Linked DNA regions of Mus musculus. The protein of the gene in region 2 interacts with the protein of the main gene of each other region in a biochemical or structural test. Links are inferred from orthologs where the notes say so. Each region holds a gene or a part of one and is shown on either strand. Other genes may lie near its edges.

What was found. The genes of interacting proteins can lie anywhere in the genome.
Region 1: the proteins of Notch1 (region 2) and Maml1 form a complex in vitro, tested with the Homo sapiens proteins (2 studies listed by BioGRID). The link is inferred for Mus musculus from reciprocal best matches to the Homo sapiens genes NOTCH1 and MAML1.

The regions. Positions count from the first base shown.
Region 1 is NC_000077.6:50,258,554-50,266,212, forward strand, and holds part of Maml1 (mastermind-like protein 1), read right to left. Parts: coding exon 7,042-7,659; intron 4,931-7,041; coding exon 4,697-4,930; intron 2,521-4,696; coding exon 2,424-2,520; intron 276-2,423; coding exon 1-275. UniProt on the Homo sapiens protein: Acts as a transcriptional coactivator for NOTCH proteins. Has been shown to amplify NOTCH-induced transcription of HES1. Enhances phosphorylation and proteolytic turnover of the NOTCH intracellular domain in the nucleus through interaction with CDK8.
Region 2 is NC_000068.7:26,470,109-26,477,767, forward strand, and holds part of Notch1 (neurogenic locus notch homolog protein 1 precursor), read right to left. Parts: intron 7,032-7,659; coding exon 6,839-7,031; intron 6,386-6,838; coding exon 6,240-6,385; intron 6,080-6,239; coding exon 5,966-6,079; intron 4,133-5,965; coding exon 4,013-4,132; intron 3,726-4,012; coding exon 3,573-3,725; intron 2,905-3,572; coding exon 2,676-2,904; intron 2,165-2,675; coding exon 1,963-2,164; intron 1,198-1,962; coding exon 1,044-1,197; intron 899-1,043; coding exon 714-898; intron 299-713; coding exon 166-298; intron 12-165; exon of another isoform or gene 1-11. UniProt on the Homo sapiens protein: Functions as a receptor for membrane-bound ligands Jagged-1 (JAG1), Jagged-2 (JAG2) and Delta-1 (DLL1) to regulate cell-fate determination.

The DNA of each region.
Region 1 (7,659 bases), on a different chromosome or scaffold from region 2:
AATGTGGGCATGTGTGCTGGTAGCCTGTGGTGGGGGCTGGGCAACTATCTGGGCTAGGCCAGATGCCATGCCATAAAGGCTGTTCTGAGGCAAACTCTGGGACCCAGTAAACTGGGCCACTCCACGGTCCTGCTGGCCTGAGCTGGAGGGGAGAGAGGAGACAGGGGCATGTCCAGGGCCCATGGACATCAGAGTCCCAGGCTGAGGGAACACTCGAGGACAGCTGGAGTTGGACGGACCCAAGTTGTTCATCCCAGGCACAGCAGCAGAAGGTCCTAGAAGAAAGAAAGTTCTAGCCGTCAAATCAGCATTCATTTTTATGTTTGTGTGTGCATATTGGTGCAGGTGCATATGTGCCACAAGCGTGAGGGAGTAGGAGGACAACAGGCAGGGGTTAGTTCCTGTCTTAGTTAAAAGAGTTTCTACTGCTGTGATAAACACCATGACCAAACCTGAGATGGGGTCTCGCTATGTAACTCTAGCTGTCCTGCAGCTCACTGTGTAGACCAGGGTGGCTTCAAGCTCACAGAAATCGCCTGCCTCTGCCTCCCAAGTGCTAGTATTAAAGGTATACACCACCACACCCAGACGCAGGGACTAAAGCAGAGGCCATACGGGGATGCTGCCTACTAGCCTGTTTACCACGGCTTGCTCAGCTCTTACTCCCAGGACCACCAACCAGACCAGGGGTAGCAGCACCCACATGGGCTGGGCCCTCCCACATTAATCTCTAGTTAAGAAATGCCCCACAGGTTTGCCTACTCTCAATTGAGCATCTCCCTCTTCCCAAATGTCATAAACTAGGCATACAGCTCCCTTCCACACCAGGTGGGACTTAGGGATCACATTCAGGACATCAGACTTGACCTGTTGAACTATCTTGCCAGCCCATGTTGGCATTCCTGACTGTCATGGTCAACTGTCTCTGAGGCCCAAGCTGAGCTCCTCTTCCACGGGCATCAAAGTCAGAGCCCTCACATGTCATGGGCATGAAAGTCAGAGCCCTCACATGTCACGGGCACAGGGACAGGACAGAACTCAAAGACAGATGGAGGGAGATCCACAGGCGAAAGCCAGCTGTCTCATTCATTTATTTATCAAGTAGCCAACAAAGTTTTCTCAGCTGGGACTAGGGATTTCAAGACCAATACCCCAGAATCTGTCTGTGGAAGCCAACGCCATCACATGGTGTGACAAGGTCACAGCTTGAGCAGCAGGTCATAGGAATGCACGACTCTGAAGGCATTGTGCCTGCCATTTGGGGAAGTGTTGAGAACTGAATGTGGGGCTGAGGGAGAAGCTCAGTAGGCAGAACTCTTTCTTAGCACGCACAAGGCCTTGACTCCAGTCGCCAGTAGCACAGAAGAAGCACATGTGAGTGCACCCATGCAGACACACACATGTAATACACATACACACAGAGGCATACACAAATGTGCCCCCATAGGCACTTATATCTCATGTGCATAACACCCATCAAAGGGAGACTTAATAAAAATAACTTAAATAACAGTTGTGACGAAAAGGGGAGAGCTGAAAAGGACCACTTCACTGTGCTAACAGCCCATATACATCAGTGTGGCATGGAAGGAGTTGAGAACCCAGGCCAGGCACATGCTCCAGTGGCTCCAATAGACTTCCAACTCCATATTCCTAGCCAGCACACCAGACTGCACCTAGACTCTTTCCTGGCTGTGGTCAGTTTCTATGACACTTCACAGTGAACGTTAACTAAGGAAGGCAAGGCCAGCATACACCTGCCATGTGACTTGCAATCTCTATAGCTCAGAGGTGACGTTGAGGCTCAGTTGCCTCCCTTCTTTGTGACACCAGAGTGCACTAGAATACATCTTTCCATCTGGAAATGTTGGTTTTCTTTTAAAGACAAGAGTCTTTGATTCACTAAGAAGCTGAAGGTGACATTGAACTTGACCTTCCAGCCTCCACTTCCCAAGTGCTAGGATTACAGGCAAGCACCACCAAACCCAGCTTGCTGTGGGGTTCACCTAAGGATACAAAGAACTATTTTAATTAAGATTTACACATAAGCCAGGTCGTGGGGGTGGCACACGCCTTTTATCCCAGCACTCAGGAGGCAGAGGCAGAATTCGAGGCCAGCCTGGTCTACAGATGAGTTTCAGGACAGCCAAGGCTATTACATAGAAAAATCCTGTCTAGCAACAAAACAAAACAAAGGCTTACACATAAGATGCCTCTAACAGTAATAATTCTGCTCCAGATGGATGTTTAACTGAGTATCCTCATAGTTAACCCTGGAGACCTTCTTGTGCCACAAAGAAACTGAAAATCTAGCCCTCCCTTCCTAAGCAGAGCTTCTGTGAGCAAGTCAATTCCATCAGGACCGTACACCATGAGCTCCACTCCCCAGCCTGCCTCCCCCAGCCTCCTCCACCTCTCCTCACCTGTGAACTGTCCAACCTGTTGTGGGAAGGTGCTTTGTGTTGGGTCTTGGTACTGGGGGGGTGGGCGGGTCAGATGACGCTGAAACTGTTGTTTCTCCTACAAAGTGCCAAGAACAGAAACAAACAGGAAAACTCAATGGAAGTCTGAAGTCAAAACCAATGAGGAGAAACGCAAGGTGTACAAGCAAGTGTGTCACTCACAAGGGGCACCAGCAGGCCTGTCACTTGCTCACAGGCGCCCGTGAGTGCAGGGAAGGCAAGGGACTGCTCACGGGTGCAGTGTTTGGGGCGATAAGCATGGGCTCTGGTGGTAACTGCACAACTCTGCACAACAGTTACAATGGACATCAATGAAGTCTATTGGCTAAGCAAACCATATGTGGTAATGAATATATCCTAATAAGCAGCTAGTTTAAAGATGGCGGGCGTGGTGGTGGTGGTATTGCACACCTTTAATCCCAGCACTCGGGAAGCAGAAGCAGGCATATCTCTATGTTTGAAACCACCCTGGTCTACAGAGTGAGTTCCAGGACAGCCAGGGCTACACAGAGAAACCCTGTCTAGAAAAACAAAACAAAACATAATAAGGACCTGAGGTAGTAAGCAACCTCAGCAAGTGTGGTCTCTAGAGTCGGGTCCACAGTATTCTCTGTTTGTTACGTGGGTAAGCATCGCCATGGCGTGTCAGAGGGCTTTGGTGTGGGTCCTGCTTTCTTCCTCGTGCTGTCACGGGGTTTCTTTTGTTCATTACTGAAGCCAGGCTTGCATCAAGGGCATCTGTCCCCGCTTCCCATTTCCACTTAGGGTTACAGACTTGGACCCTGCTTTACACGGGTCCCAGAGTTATGAACTCAGGGTCTCCGACTTTTGAGTCCCTCCCTGGCCTCTTCCCTCCCTTTGAGATACCACATCGCTCTGTAGCCCAGACTGGCCTCGAACTCACTGTGTAGCTAAACATGAGGGTGATTCTCCTGCATCAGCTTCCTGGCAGCTAGGATTACAGGCGAGGGCTCCTATGCCCAGCTGGCTCCCGTCTTAATTAGAAGACATGGTTCAACCTCTCAAAGGCTCTCATGATTGCCTGGGGTCTGCACTATGCCTGGCAACCCAGTAGGAAAATGTGCATCGTGATCGCAGGACTTCAAGGGCTGCTCTACTTTATGCCATTTTTATTTATTTGTGTGTGTATGGATGTGTGCCATGGTGTGAAGTTCAGAGAGCAGCTTGCTGGAGTCAGCCCTCTCCTGCCACCTTGTGGGACTCTGGGTCACACTTAGGTCATCACACTGCATACAAGGACTTCTACCCACTGAGCTACTTCATTAGCCTTTTTTTTTTCTTTAAGATTTATTTATAGGGCCTGGAGAGATGGCTCAGCGGTTAAGAGTGCTGACTGCTCTTCCAGAGGTCCTGAGTTCAAATCCCAGCACCCACATGGCGGCTCACAACCATCTGTAATGAGATCTGACACCTTCTTCTGGTGTGTCTGAAGATAGCTACAGTGTACTTACATATAAAAATAAATGTTTTTTTAAAAGATTTATTTATAAAGAATTATTTATTTTATGTATATAAGCTCTCTTCAGACACACCAGAAGAGGGCATCTGATCCCATTACAGATGGTTGTGAGCCACCATGTGGTTGCTTGGAATAGAATTCAGGACCTCTGGAAGAGCAGTCAGTGCTCTTAACCACTGAGCCATCTCTCCAGCCCCTTCTTTAAGATTGAATATTAAAGGTTTTGTTGTTGTTGTTTGATATAGTGTCTCACCATGTAGCTCAGGCTGGCCTCAAACTCAGAGATTGACCTGCCTCTAACCTTCAAGTGCTGGGATTAAAGGTGTGCACCACCATGGCTGGCATATTCTTAAAAACATATTTGTTTGTGTGGGTTTATGTGTACCACATGTACAGACGTGTCCACAGAGGTGAGATATGGTGGTTGAATTCCTGGAACTGGAGTTATAGGCAGTTGTGAACCACCTGATGTGGGGGTGCTGGGAACAGACCTCTAGCCTACTGGTCCTAACTTCTTAAACAAACAAACAAGCAAACAACCTATCATCACGCGTGAATGTGTGCGTGAATGCTTGCTCTTGAGATGTGTGTGCCACGGTGTGCTGTAGACTCTCACTCTTCACGTGTATGTGAGATTCAGGGATTGCATGCAGGCCATAGGCTGACCAGCACTTTAGCACTTCACCTGTTTTTATTGTTTTAAAGGACACGACACTGACATTGAGTGCAAACAAGCTGAAATGGTGCCTGTTACCTGCTCAGCCAGGAGGTGCTGCCTCTGCAGGAACTGCTGCTGCTGCAGCTGCTGCTGCTGCTGCTCCCTCTGCTTCTGCTGGTCCAGGAGCAGCTGGTGCTGCTTCATCACAGCTGCCTGCTGCTGGCTGCTGAGGTATGGCGAGCTGTTGTGAGTGCTGGCCACAGACACAGTAGGCTGGGTTCCCACACTGGCAGCTGGGGCAGCTACAGGGACACTGGAAGGGTTCTGCTCCTGTCAACAAAGATGAAGGGATACAAGTCAGATAGTATGGATCCAACCCTGATCAGGCCAGATAAGCGGCACCCAGTGATAGTCTTGTTCTCTTTTGTAACTCCAAGCCTCTGCTTCCCTGATTTTATAGTTTGGACATGAAATGTCCCTCATGTGTGTGGAGGCATCTTTAAGTTTTAGCACTTGGGAGGCAGAGGCAAGTGGAACTCTGTGCGTTCCAGATCAGTCAGGGATACATGAGACCCTAACTTAAAATAGCAAACAACACTCCAAACCAACCAACCTATAAAAAGCCTCATTAAAGACAAACAATAGGGCTGGAGAAATGGCTCAGTGGTTAAGAGACTGACTGCTCTTCCAGAGGAGCCAGGTTCAATTCCCAGCACCCACATGGCAGCTCACAACTGTCTGTAACGCCAACCTTTGACACCCTTATGTAGGCAAAACACCAATGTACATAAAAATAAATTATTTTTTAAAAGCCAAAAAACAAGCCAGGCAGTGGTGGCACACGCCTTTGATCCCAGCACTTGGGAGGCAGAGGCAGGCAGATTTCTGAGTTCGAGGCCACCTGGTCTACAAAGTGAGTTCCAGGACAGCCAGGGCTACACAGAGAAACCCTATCTCGAAGAAAAAAAAAAAAAAAAAAAAAAGCCAAAAAACCACTAATACCCTACAAATATCCTAGCCTCCAACCAAACAAAACAAAAGCAAAATAATGCTATGTTGTTAAGAATGCAGACTTGCCTTATGGCTGGCCCAGAGAGCATGAAATCGTTTTTATGTTCACTAGTCTATGCGTATTTTTCTGGGAAGACACAGATACTTTATAGTGTTTAGATTTCAAATTTTATTTGGTGTTTCTTTGTGCACCAGTGGTCAGCATCAAGTGACTTTCTTCATTGTTTCACCTCATTTTGTGAGAGGATCTCGTGAGTCTAGAGCTGCTCAGTGTAGTTAGACAGGCTGGCCAGTGAGCTGCCGGGCTCCTGTTTCAGGAGCAAGTTCTGAGCACATGGCCCACCAGCTCTGTACCCTGCCTTTCTTGAGTTCATGCTTAAAGCCATGGAACTTAATACATTCATCCCCTCCCCCTCGTTTCTTTTCTCCAAAACAAAACAAGCAAGGCCTCACACTGTAGCCCAGGCTGGCCTCAAACTTGTGGCAATCTTGCCTCAACTTCCCTGTGCTGGGATTACTGTGAACCACAACTGGTTTGTTGTTTTGTAACAGGGTCTCATTATATAGACAAGGCTGGTCTTGAACTCAGAGATTCCCCCTGCCTCTGCCTCCTCAGAGAATGCAGGATTTAAGGTATGTGCTGCCATGCCAGGCTATTTGACTATCTAAAACACACACACACACACATACACACACGAGAAGGATTTATTTATTTAATTATATGAGTGCTCTGTCTTCATACACACCAGAAGAGAGAATCAGGTTCCATTACAGATGGTTGTGAGCTACCATATGGTTGCTGGGAACTGAACTCAGGACTTCTAAAACAGCCAGTCTTAATGGCTGAGCCACCTCTCCAGCCCCTTATTTTATTTATTTTTTGGCAAGGACTTATGTAGTTGTTTGGCATGCAAGAGACGACTAAACTAAATTAGGTGATTTCTCAAATGTTTATGTAGTTAAAGACTAATTTATACTAAGGAATTTTTTTCTTTCTAGACAAGGTTTCTCCATGTAGCCCTGGCTGTCCTGGAACTTGCTTTGTAGACCAGGCTGGTCACAAATTGCAAAAGATCCTCTACTTCTGCCTCCCAAGTGCTGGGATTAAAGGTCTCACCACCACTGCCTTGCTACATTAAGGAATTTTACTCTATTTTTATTAAGGATCAATTCCAGTCATCTGTAATCTCAACTCTTGGGAGGCAGAGGCGCGGGGAATCAGGCTCAAGAGCAGCGTGGCTCCACAGCCAGCCAAGGATAAATGAACCGTGCCTCAAAACACGAACACCAGCCTTGCCCTGTTTTTTACGTTTTCCACTTCAAAGGATGACAGCAGCCGCTACCACTGTCTCGTGCATGCTGATTCTAGTTCAGTATGTGCATTCACTAGTGCCCGTAGCTGAGTGATGGCAAGTGAAGGGCCTACTCACCTGGCCAGGTGGAACCAATGACCGGAAGGGCATGTTTCCTGACTTTGGTTTCATCAGAAACAAGGAGTTCTGCTCGTTACTCAGATGGGGCAGCTGCTGGGGAAGATATGCCATCAAAGCTGGTTTGTTCTGGCCAGACCCAGGACCACCTTGGCCACAGTCTGCTTTGTAATGAGAAAGGGGCTTTGTATTGCCATAGTCTAGCACAGACCCTTGGTTATTCACGGGGTTCTGATTCAAGTTACTTGGTGACTGGTGACTCAGCAGGTTGGAGTGGCTAGGTTGGAGGTAGGGGCCTCCTGGCCGAGGAGAACTCTTGTTCACACCGGGCATCATGAGCAGTTTTGAGTTGGTAAAGTCTTGCTTGTAGCCAGAAGGGCTGGCAGGCTTCTCCATGGGATAAGGAACATCTAAGGGACTGTGGGAGGGCCCTGCCTGCTGCCACGTGGCCAGCTGGCCTGGGCCGGGTGCTGGGGCAGCTTGCTGGGGATTCTGCAACATCTGCTCGCGCTTCTGCTTGGCAGCTATCTGCTGGAGCTGGTGAGCAGAGGACAGCTCCGAGGCCCCGCCTGGGCCCTGGCTAGGTAATACCACACTCGTGAGGGCTCTTTGTGCACT
Region 2 (7,659 bases):
TGTGCAGCCCAGTCCAGAAATCAGTTAGGACCTGGGGCCCGGGGGAGGCAGCACAGTGCCACTGGAGCCCACCTCCCTTCTGAGATTCCTATTCCGTGGTCAGCTCTCAATCACCTGAGTGATCTCTGGCTGGATCCTGCCCATCATCCAGGTCCCTACCCTTACCCTGTGTCCCCCGGGGGCAGGAACACTTGTAGGAGTTGGTCAGATCAATGCAGGTACCCCCATTCTGGCAGGGCTGGGACAGGCACTCGTTGATCTCCTCGGAGCAGTTAGACCCATGGTAGCCAGCCACACACTGTAGAAATGGCACAGGTCACAGCTTAGCTGGGGTTGTGGTATCATGTCCTCCACTTGCCATGCAGGCCATATACCCAGTTAGACTACACTGTCCCACCCTGCAGCGAGGGCTCCACCCAGTAGACCCCAGTAAGTTAAAATAAGTGTCCAAGGTGTGTGTGTGTGGGGCAACACCTGGTCCCCCAGGGATGAGGTCTTGGAGCAGGTATTAGGTACCATGAAACCATATAGGAAAGGGGTGCCCTAAGCCACTGCTTGGCATAGTTCTCCTCCTTCAGCACATCTGTAATGTGACCGGATCCTGCACAGGTATGTGCTCAGTCTGCCATGATGCACTAGCTCCCAGTCAAAAGCCCTCCCCTGCAGCAACACTCACGCTGATACCCTCCCCGCCACCCCATGACGGCCCACACCTTGCAGGAAAAGCCGCCGAGATAGTCAGTGCAGGTAGCTCCATTCTGGCAGGGGTTAGGTGAGCACTCGTCCACCTCGTCCTCACAGTAGCTGCCCGTGTAGCCTGCCTGGCAGTGGCAGTAATGTTTATCTCCCTCATCCACACAGAGCCCTCCATGCTGGCACAGGAGAGTGACGTCAATGCCTGTGGGGACAAGACGGGAAGGAGCTGAGGCCTGGGCTGAGCTCTCGGGACTACTGCCCATTGTCACCTGACCTGGCAGGCACCGGGGCACTCCTGGCCTAAGCTGAGCCTGAGCAAGGACAGGTGGGCCCGGCCGGTTGGTTACCTCGCTTCTGTGCAGCCACCTCACAGGACACACTGAGCACGTCGCAGTTGACGCCAGTCCAGCCGCTGCGGCACTCACAGTGGTACTGCGTGTTGGTCTGCCAGCACCTGCCACCATTCTTGCAGGGAGCCGAGTCGCACCAGCGCACAAGGTTCTGAGGAGACAGGCGCTGGTTAGCTTCTCCCTGACCAACTCTGACTGCTAGGGCACCCTCCTGCCCTGGTCCTGGCTGGCTCTGAGAAGCACAGCAGTTCTCAGCCTTCCTAATGCTGCAGTCTTTTAATATAGTTCCTCGTGTTGTGGTGACCTCCAACCATAAAATTATTTCATTGCTTCTTCATAACTGTAATTTTGCTACTGTCATGTAGCAAAAATATGCAGGATATCTGATATATGACCCCTATTGGGGTCATGACCCACAGGCTGAGCGCCACTGGAATAAGGCATTTTATGCTCTGACTTCCCCACCCCCACCCCCACCATCTCAGAAAGAATATCACCTAAGAAATCCCAGGCACAGGACTCACAAACACTGCCCGCCCTCCGAACAACATAGGCCTGGGCTCCACGTCTTCCTTGCTCTCTTTCAAGGCTCTCCACAACCCACTGGCTACCTCCCCTTGGACATCCTCCACCAGAAGTGAGCACTGCCCCAGGCTGCTTCAGACAGATGGCCACATAATGCACTCCACAGAAGAGCCTGGCTGGCACCCATGCCCACCTGTCTCCCTCAGAAGCACCCAACTTGGCATTTTCCCAGAGGATGTGGGTTCATTCTGGCTCATCAACCAATGATGACACCAGGGAGCCTCTCTGCTTCTGTGTCCCTGGCCCTCTGAAGGTAGTGTGGCCCAGGGCTGGGCAATGGGCACTGGAGAGCCCTAGGCCTTCTGGGTCATACCCTGTAACCTCAGCTCACCTGGCAGTTGAGACCAGTGTAGCCCTGTGGGCAGGTACACTTATAAGTACCATAGCTGTCTTGGCAGGTACCACCGTGCAGACAGGGCCGTGAATCACACTCATTGACATCATACTGACAGTAGCTGCCCGTGAAGCCAGGTGGACACAGACAGGTGAAGGAGTTGATACCATCCACACAGGTACCACCATTGAAGCAGGAGCTAGAGGCAGATGAGAAGCAGGGAAGAGTGAGGAGTTCCCTAAGGTCCTTGCCAGGAGAGACAACTCCATGCCTACCTGGCCACAATACCCAAATCACGAGCAGAGATTTTATAGCATATAGACACGTGGTGGTTGAGAAAAACAAAATCAAGGGCAAAATAGGAACACTATAGGAAGCGCATCACAAACCAGGCTTGAGATTGATTTAACTCTAAGCTTCCTGGCAACCAGGGCAAAAGGGGAACTAAGACAGATTACAAAGCTCTTGTTTGATAGGAGGCTAGTTCCCCAATTCCTCTGCACAAACTTCCTTGTTCTAAGTCACTGGAGGTCACAAAGGCCCCTTTAGGAGGGATACTGCAACATAATGAACAACGCTGGATTCAGTTCAATTAGTGCTGTATGCCCACTGGGTCTGGGCAAGACACCAGCTTGAGATGCCATGCTGTCAAGACTTTGTGTCTTCCACAGTCCATTTCTTTCCCTGTCTCAGCTGAGGCTGGGACCCACCTCTCAGTACAGTCAGGTGTGTTGTTCTCGCAGTGGATGCCATTGAAGCCCACGGGGCAGGTACATGTGTAGCTGTCCACACAGTCAGTGCAATTGGCACCATTTTGGCAGGGATTGCTGGCACATTCATTGATGTCCTCCTCACAGAAGGCACCCTGGAAGCCGGGCAGGCAGTCGCAGAAGGCTGTGTTGATGCCATCGGTGCAGGAACCCCCATTGTGACACGGGTCTGGAGGGACAGAAAGATGAGCCTTAGGTGGCCACTGGCCATGCTTCGGGGACCTGATGCTGAGAAGGTGGTATGGGGTGGCAAGTGCTCACAGCAAGCCTTGATGACAGTAGTCAACAGGGGCCCATCCCAGCACTGAGCCTGGAATCTGCTCCGCATACACTTTTTCCCTCAGGCCCAAGGCAGTCATAGGGAAGCCCATTCCCCTACACACACACTGATGGTGCCAGGCAGAACCTCCCTCAATCTCTCTCTGCCTTTAGCTTTGACTCAGGATGCAGGGCATCTCTAAAGCCCTACACAACTCAATGGGTCCTGACAAGGGCCGAGTGTCAAGGTTGAATACAACTAGGCCCCATGCCATCATTTTGAAGTGCCTGGTGCCTCTGCTCCATATCACTCAATTGGGCTGGGAAATCTAGCAGCAAAGCCCGTGAGAAGCACACACTGATGCTCAACAGCCTCCTCCTGGCCTGTCTAGCCTCTGGCCTGTCTCTTTTTAAGGCACAGGCAAGTGGACTAAGCTGAGGGCACAGCTATCCACAGTCCTTCATGACTGCCGGGCACCAGGGCTATTTTCCACCTCAGACTCTCAGCAGCTCCCTGTCATGTGTGCTTAGGAACAGAGGCACCGAAACATAGGATGGACAGAGCTGGGTACCACTTACTGGGGCGGCAGTCATCGATGTCACTCTCACAGTTGCGACCTGTATAGCCGGCCTGGCAGAGGCAGCGGTAGCTGCCATTGGTGTTCTGGCAGGAGGCCCCATGGCGACATGGGCTTTTCACACACTCATTGATGTCAACCTCGCAGGTTTGACCTGTGAAGACAAAAACTCATTTGGTTACCTGCCCCCACCCTCTGAGCCTCTGTCCTAGCTGGTCTGTTTATCTCCAGTGCTTCTCCCCTGACCTCTGGGCAACAGAAGGATATGGAGTTGGAATGGGAAGGACCATCTCCTGCTCCCAGAGCTTCCCAGAGCTTCCCAGAGCAGGTAGCTCAGCATTGATGGGCTCCTTTCTCGAGACTGCCCCACAGGCTGGCCAGGGCCCCTGACTTCCCATCCACCATCCTTGTCCCAGCCTGGTGGGACCAGGCAAGCCTCACCTTGCCAGCCTGTGGGACAGACACAGGAAAAACTCTCATAGTCTTCAGACTCCTTGCATACCCCGCTGTTTTTGCAGGGGCTGGTAGCACATGGGGCCAACACCACCTCACACGTGGCTCCTAGAAAGAAAGATTTGTAGAAGATAGAACCCAGTGAGCCTGGCCCATAGGGTCTTCCATAAAGGGGGGCGGGGGGTAGGTATAGGAGATGCTGTATGATTGGCCAGCCAGACTCTGATCCCGGGAGGAATGACGATTACTGACAGGAGGTTAGAGATAAAGCAGAATCAAGTTTCTCTCTTAAGTCACTTTTTTTTTTTTTTTTTAACGAGCATAGTATATTGCATGCAGGTGTGTAAGAGTGTATGCAGAAGGAGAGACGGATATCAGGTGTCCTCTACCAACCCCGCATCTTATTCCTTTGAGACAGAGTCTCACTGAATCAGACGCTTTGCCATCTTAGCTAGGCTGGCCAGCCAGAGAGCTCTCAAGATGTCTCTGCTCCCAAATGTTGGGGTTATGGGCATTTAGAGGTACCCTGTTTTCATGAAACAGGCTTCATGTTTCCACAAGCACTCTTTCTCCATGAGCCATCTATGTAGTCCCGGAAGCCATCTCTCATCTCCCAAATGCTCCACGATGAAGCCTGGGCCTTGCCCAACCAGAAAACCTCAAAACAAGACCCTACTATAACAGGTGGTTGAGCCTGGAGGAACCTGGCCTGCTCCCCATTCCAGGAAAATCCTTGAGCTGATTCTGAAGCTTTAGGTCACAGCAGGCTCACTCCTGAGACAGAGCTACTGTGGCTACCCCAAGCATATCCTACTTGGGGAACATGGGGTGCAGCCTCACACTAGGGCAGTGAAATCTGATAACCGCTTGGGGGAGCCACGAGTAACCCAGGTGACTCTCCTTGCAATCCCAGTTAGCTTTCCTGTTTATGGCCATGGTTGGCTCCAGGAGCTAAGCAAGGAAACCTTATCTTCCTTGTCTCCCACCATGTCCCCAGCCCACTGGTGAGACTCTCCAGGGCCTCTCTCTCTATCGGTTTCCACGGTGACCTGGGCAGACAGGAACTTTGACAGAGTTTCCGACAATTGTGCAAAGGGAAGCAGGAAGCTGGTCAGCGCGGCTTGACTCCTCCCGCTAGCCCCGATAGCAGCAAGACCAAAAGGAACATGGGGTGTGCCTGGCTGCTGACAGTTTCCTCACTGACCAACACAGGAGACAAAATCCAGGCCCTTTAACTTTGTCAAAGAAAACAGCATCCTGCCAGGCATCATAGGAACACTGGAAGGGCCTCCACCTTCACAGACCCACTTGCTATGTCCAGAACCTAGCAGCAGCAGCATGAAGCCACCAGTACTCTGTGGCAGTATTTGGAGCTGCAGGGTTGGGGGCCATGTGGTCACGGCTTTCATGTTCAATGCACATCTCTCCTGCAGGGGGTCTATTTCTCGCCATTCCTCAGGCAGTGCCCATGGCAGGAGCTGCCTCTGTTCATCTAACAGAGGGCTCCTTGTCTCCTCACACAAAGAAGCTGCCATCAAAGGAATCCCAGGCCCAGCCAGCAGAGGAGGGCAGCCAGGGCCCCCAGAGGCACAGGCAAAGTGGACCCTGATCCATGCAGTACCTACCAGTCAGCCTCCCAGACTTTCTCTGGAGGAGTCCAGTGCTCACCTCACTCCAGACATACCAGATAAACACCCGGACACACGGCCTGGAGCTTCCTCCTAGGCATCCTCTGTGTTTGCCCATCTGGTGACTATCCCCAGGCCCAGGAGGCCTGGGCTGTAGCCTGGGCTCAGAGCCTTCCTGCTTAACTACAGTTCCAGTCTGAGGACCTAAGACCCTCAGCGAGGAACAGAACCTTCTTCAGTGCCTGGTAAGCCCATATACTCTTAGCTCCACTAGCTACCACCAGAGCCAATTCCAGTCCCTGGCTGTTCGTACCTGTATATGGCAGAGGACAGTTGCACTTGTATCCAGCGACATCATCAATGCAGGTCCCCTGGTTCAGGCAGGGGTTGGAGGCACATTCGTTGATGTTGGTCTGGCAATTAGGGCCTGTAAGGAAGTTGAGCAAGAGGAGGTGGGCCAGAGCCTCTGCCCTATGCCTTTCCTCAAGAGAACTAGGATCTCTGCCTGAGAAATGCTAGCTCATCAGGTGGACCGAGAAAGAGACCAAAGGGAGGACCCATTCTGCTGTGTCACCCGCCACACTTACCACTGAAGCCTTCTCGGCAGGTGCATACGTAGCCACTGGTCATGTCCTTGCAGGTGCCACCGTTGACACAAGGGTTGGACTCACACTCGTTGTTGTTGATGTCACAGTTTGTTCCACTCCACCCAGGGGCACAGTCACACTTGTACCTACGGAGAGGCCTGAGCTGTAGCCTGGGCTCAGAGCTCTCCTGCTAAACTACAGTTCCAGTCTGAGGACAAGGCCACATCATCCACTGGGCTGGAGGTACCCACCTGGCCCAAGACCGTGCAAGGGTTCCAGACTGGAACAATGCCACCTTGACAATGCTGACCCTCTGTATAAAACTTTAATAGTTTTAACGGAGACCTTAGTAATCTCCTCGTCCCCCACACACTGACAAAGGGCTGCTGTCACCACAGTATCAGACAACTGTTTCAGCAGCCACAGTGTGCTTAGAGTCTATATCCTGAGCTGATGCTAGCCAATGAGGATACAGCCCAGGGATGCTGGGAAGACACTAGGGGCTGACCTCAGATCACTGGTCTCACAGGAGCACCCATTCACCCAGCCTGTGTCTGCCCAAGGCTACAGCTAGTCCCTCCCAGGTCAGTCTGCCATACCCATTGAGGCCATCCCGGCAAGCTCCGTGGATGCAGGGGTTACTGTTGCACTCGTTGACCTCGGACAGGCACGTGGGGTCATGGTAGCCCTCGGGGCAGCGGCAAGTGAAGCCCGCGATGCCATCCTCACAAGTGCCCCCGTTGTGGCAGGGGCTGCCCGCACATTCGTCAATGTTGACGTTACACATGCTTCCTGTGGGTGGGAAGGGGCTCAGATTCCAAGCCTGCCACCCAGAGCCTACCCCTCCTAGAGCTAGACCTAGCTGGGTCTAAGTTTCCCCTTGTGCTAATCTATGAAACTTTGAGCGATAGTAAAGTGCCTTATGTAGCGATGAGTTACATGACCGTAGTGCCAGTAGCTTCTGAGCCTCATGTGATCCAGTCTGGCCACAAACTCACATGTAGCTGAGAATGACCTAAACTTCTGATCCTCTCGCTTCCAATGTCAGAGTGCTAGGGTTACAACGTATGCATGCCACTGCATCTGGTTAACATGGCAGGAGGACTGAACCCAGGGTTTACACATGCTAGGTCAACACCTTACCAACTGAGTCACTCTGCAGCCCAGCTTTACCTCAGCCTGAGACCACCCATCCTCTTCTATCCTCTGGTGGACAATGTCCTCGGTGCTCAGAGAAACTAAGGATTTTATCAGATCTAAACACATATCCAAAAGCCTGGCCTCGGAGCTCTGGCCACCCCACTTCAGGCTACTGGGGCTTTAAGTCTGGCATGGCCAGGGCTGACACTGACAGGGGAAAGGAGGCATATGGAGGCCACCCAGTCTTTATGATAGATACCTCTACTGGTTGGCAGATCAA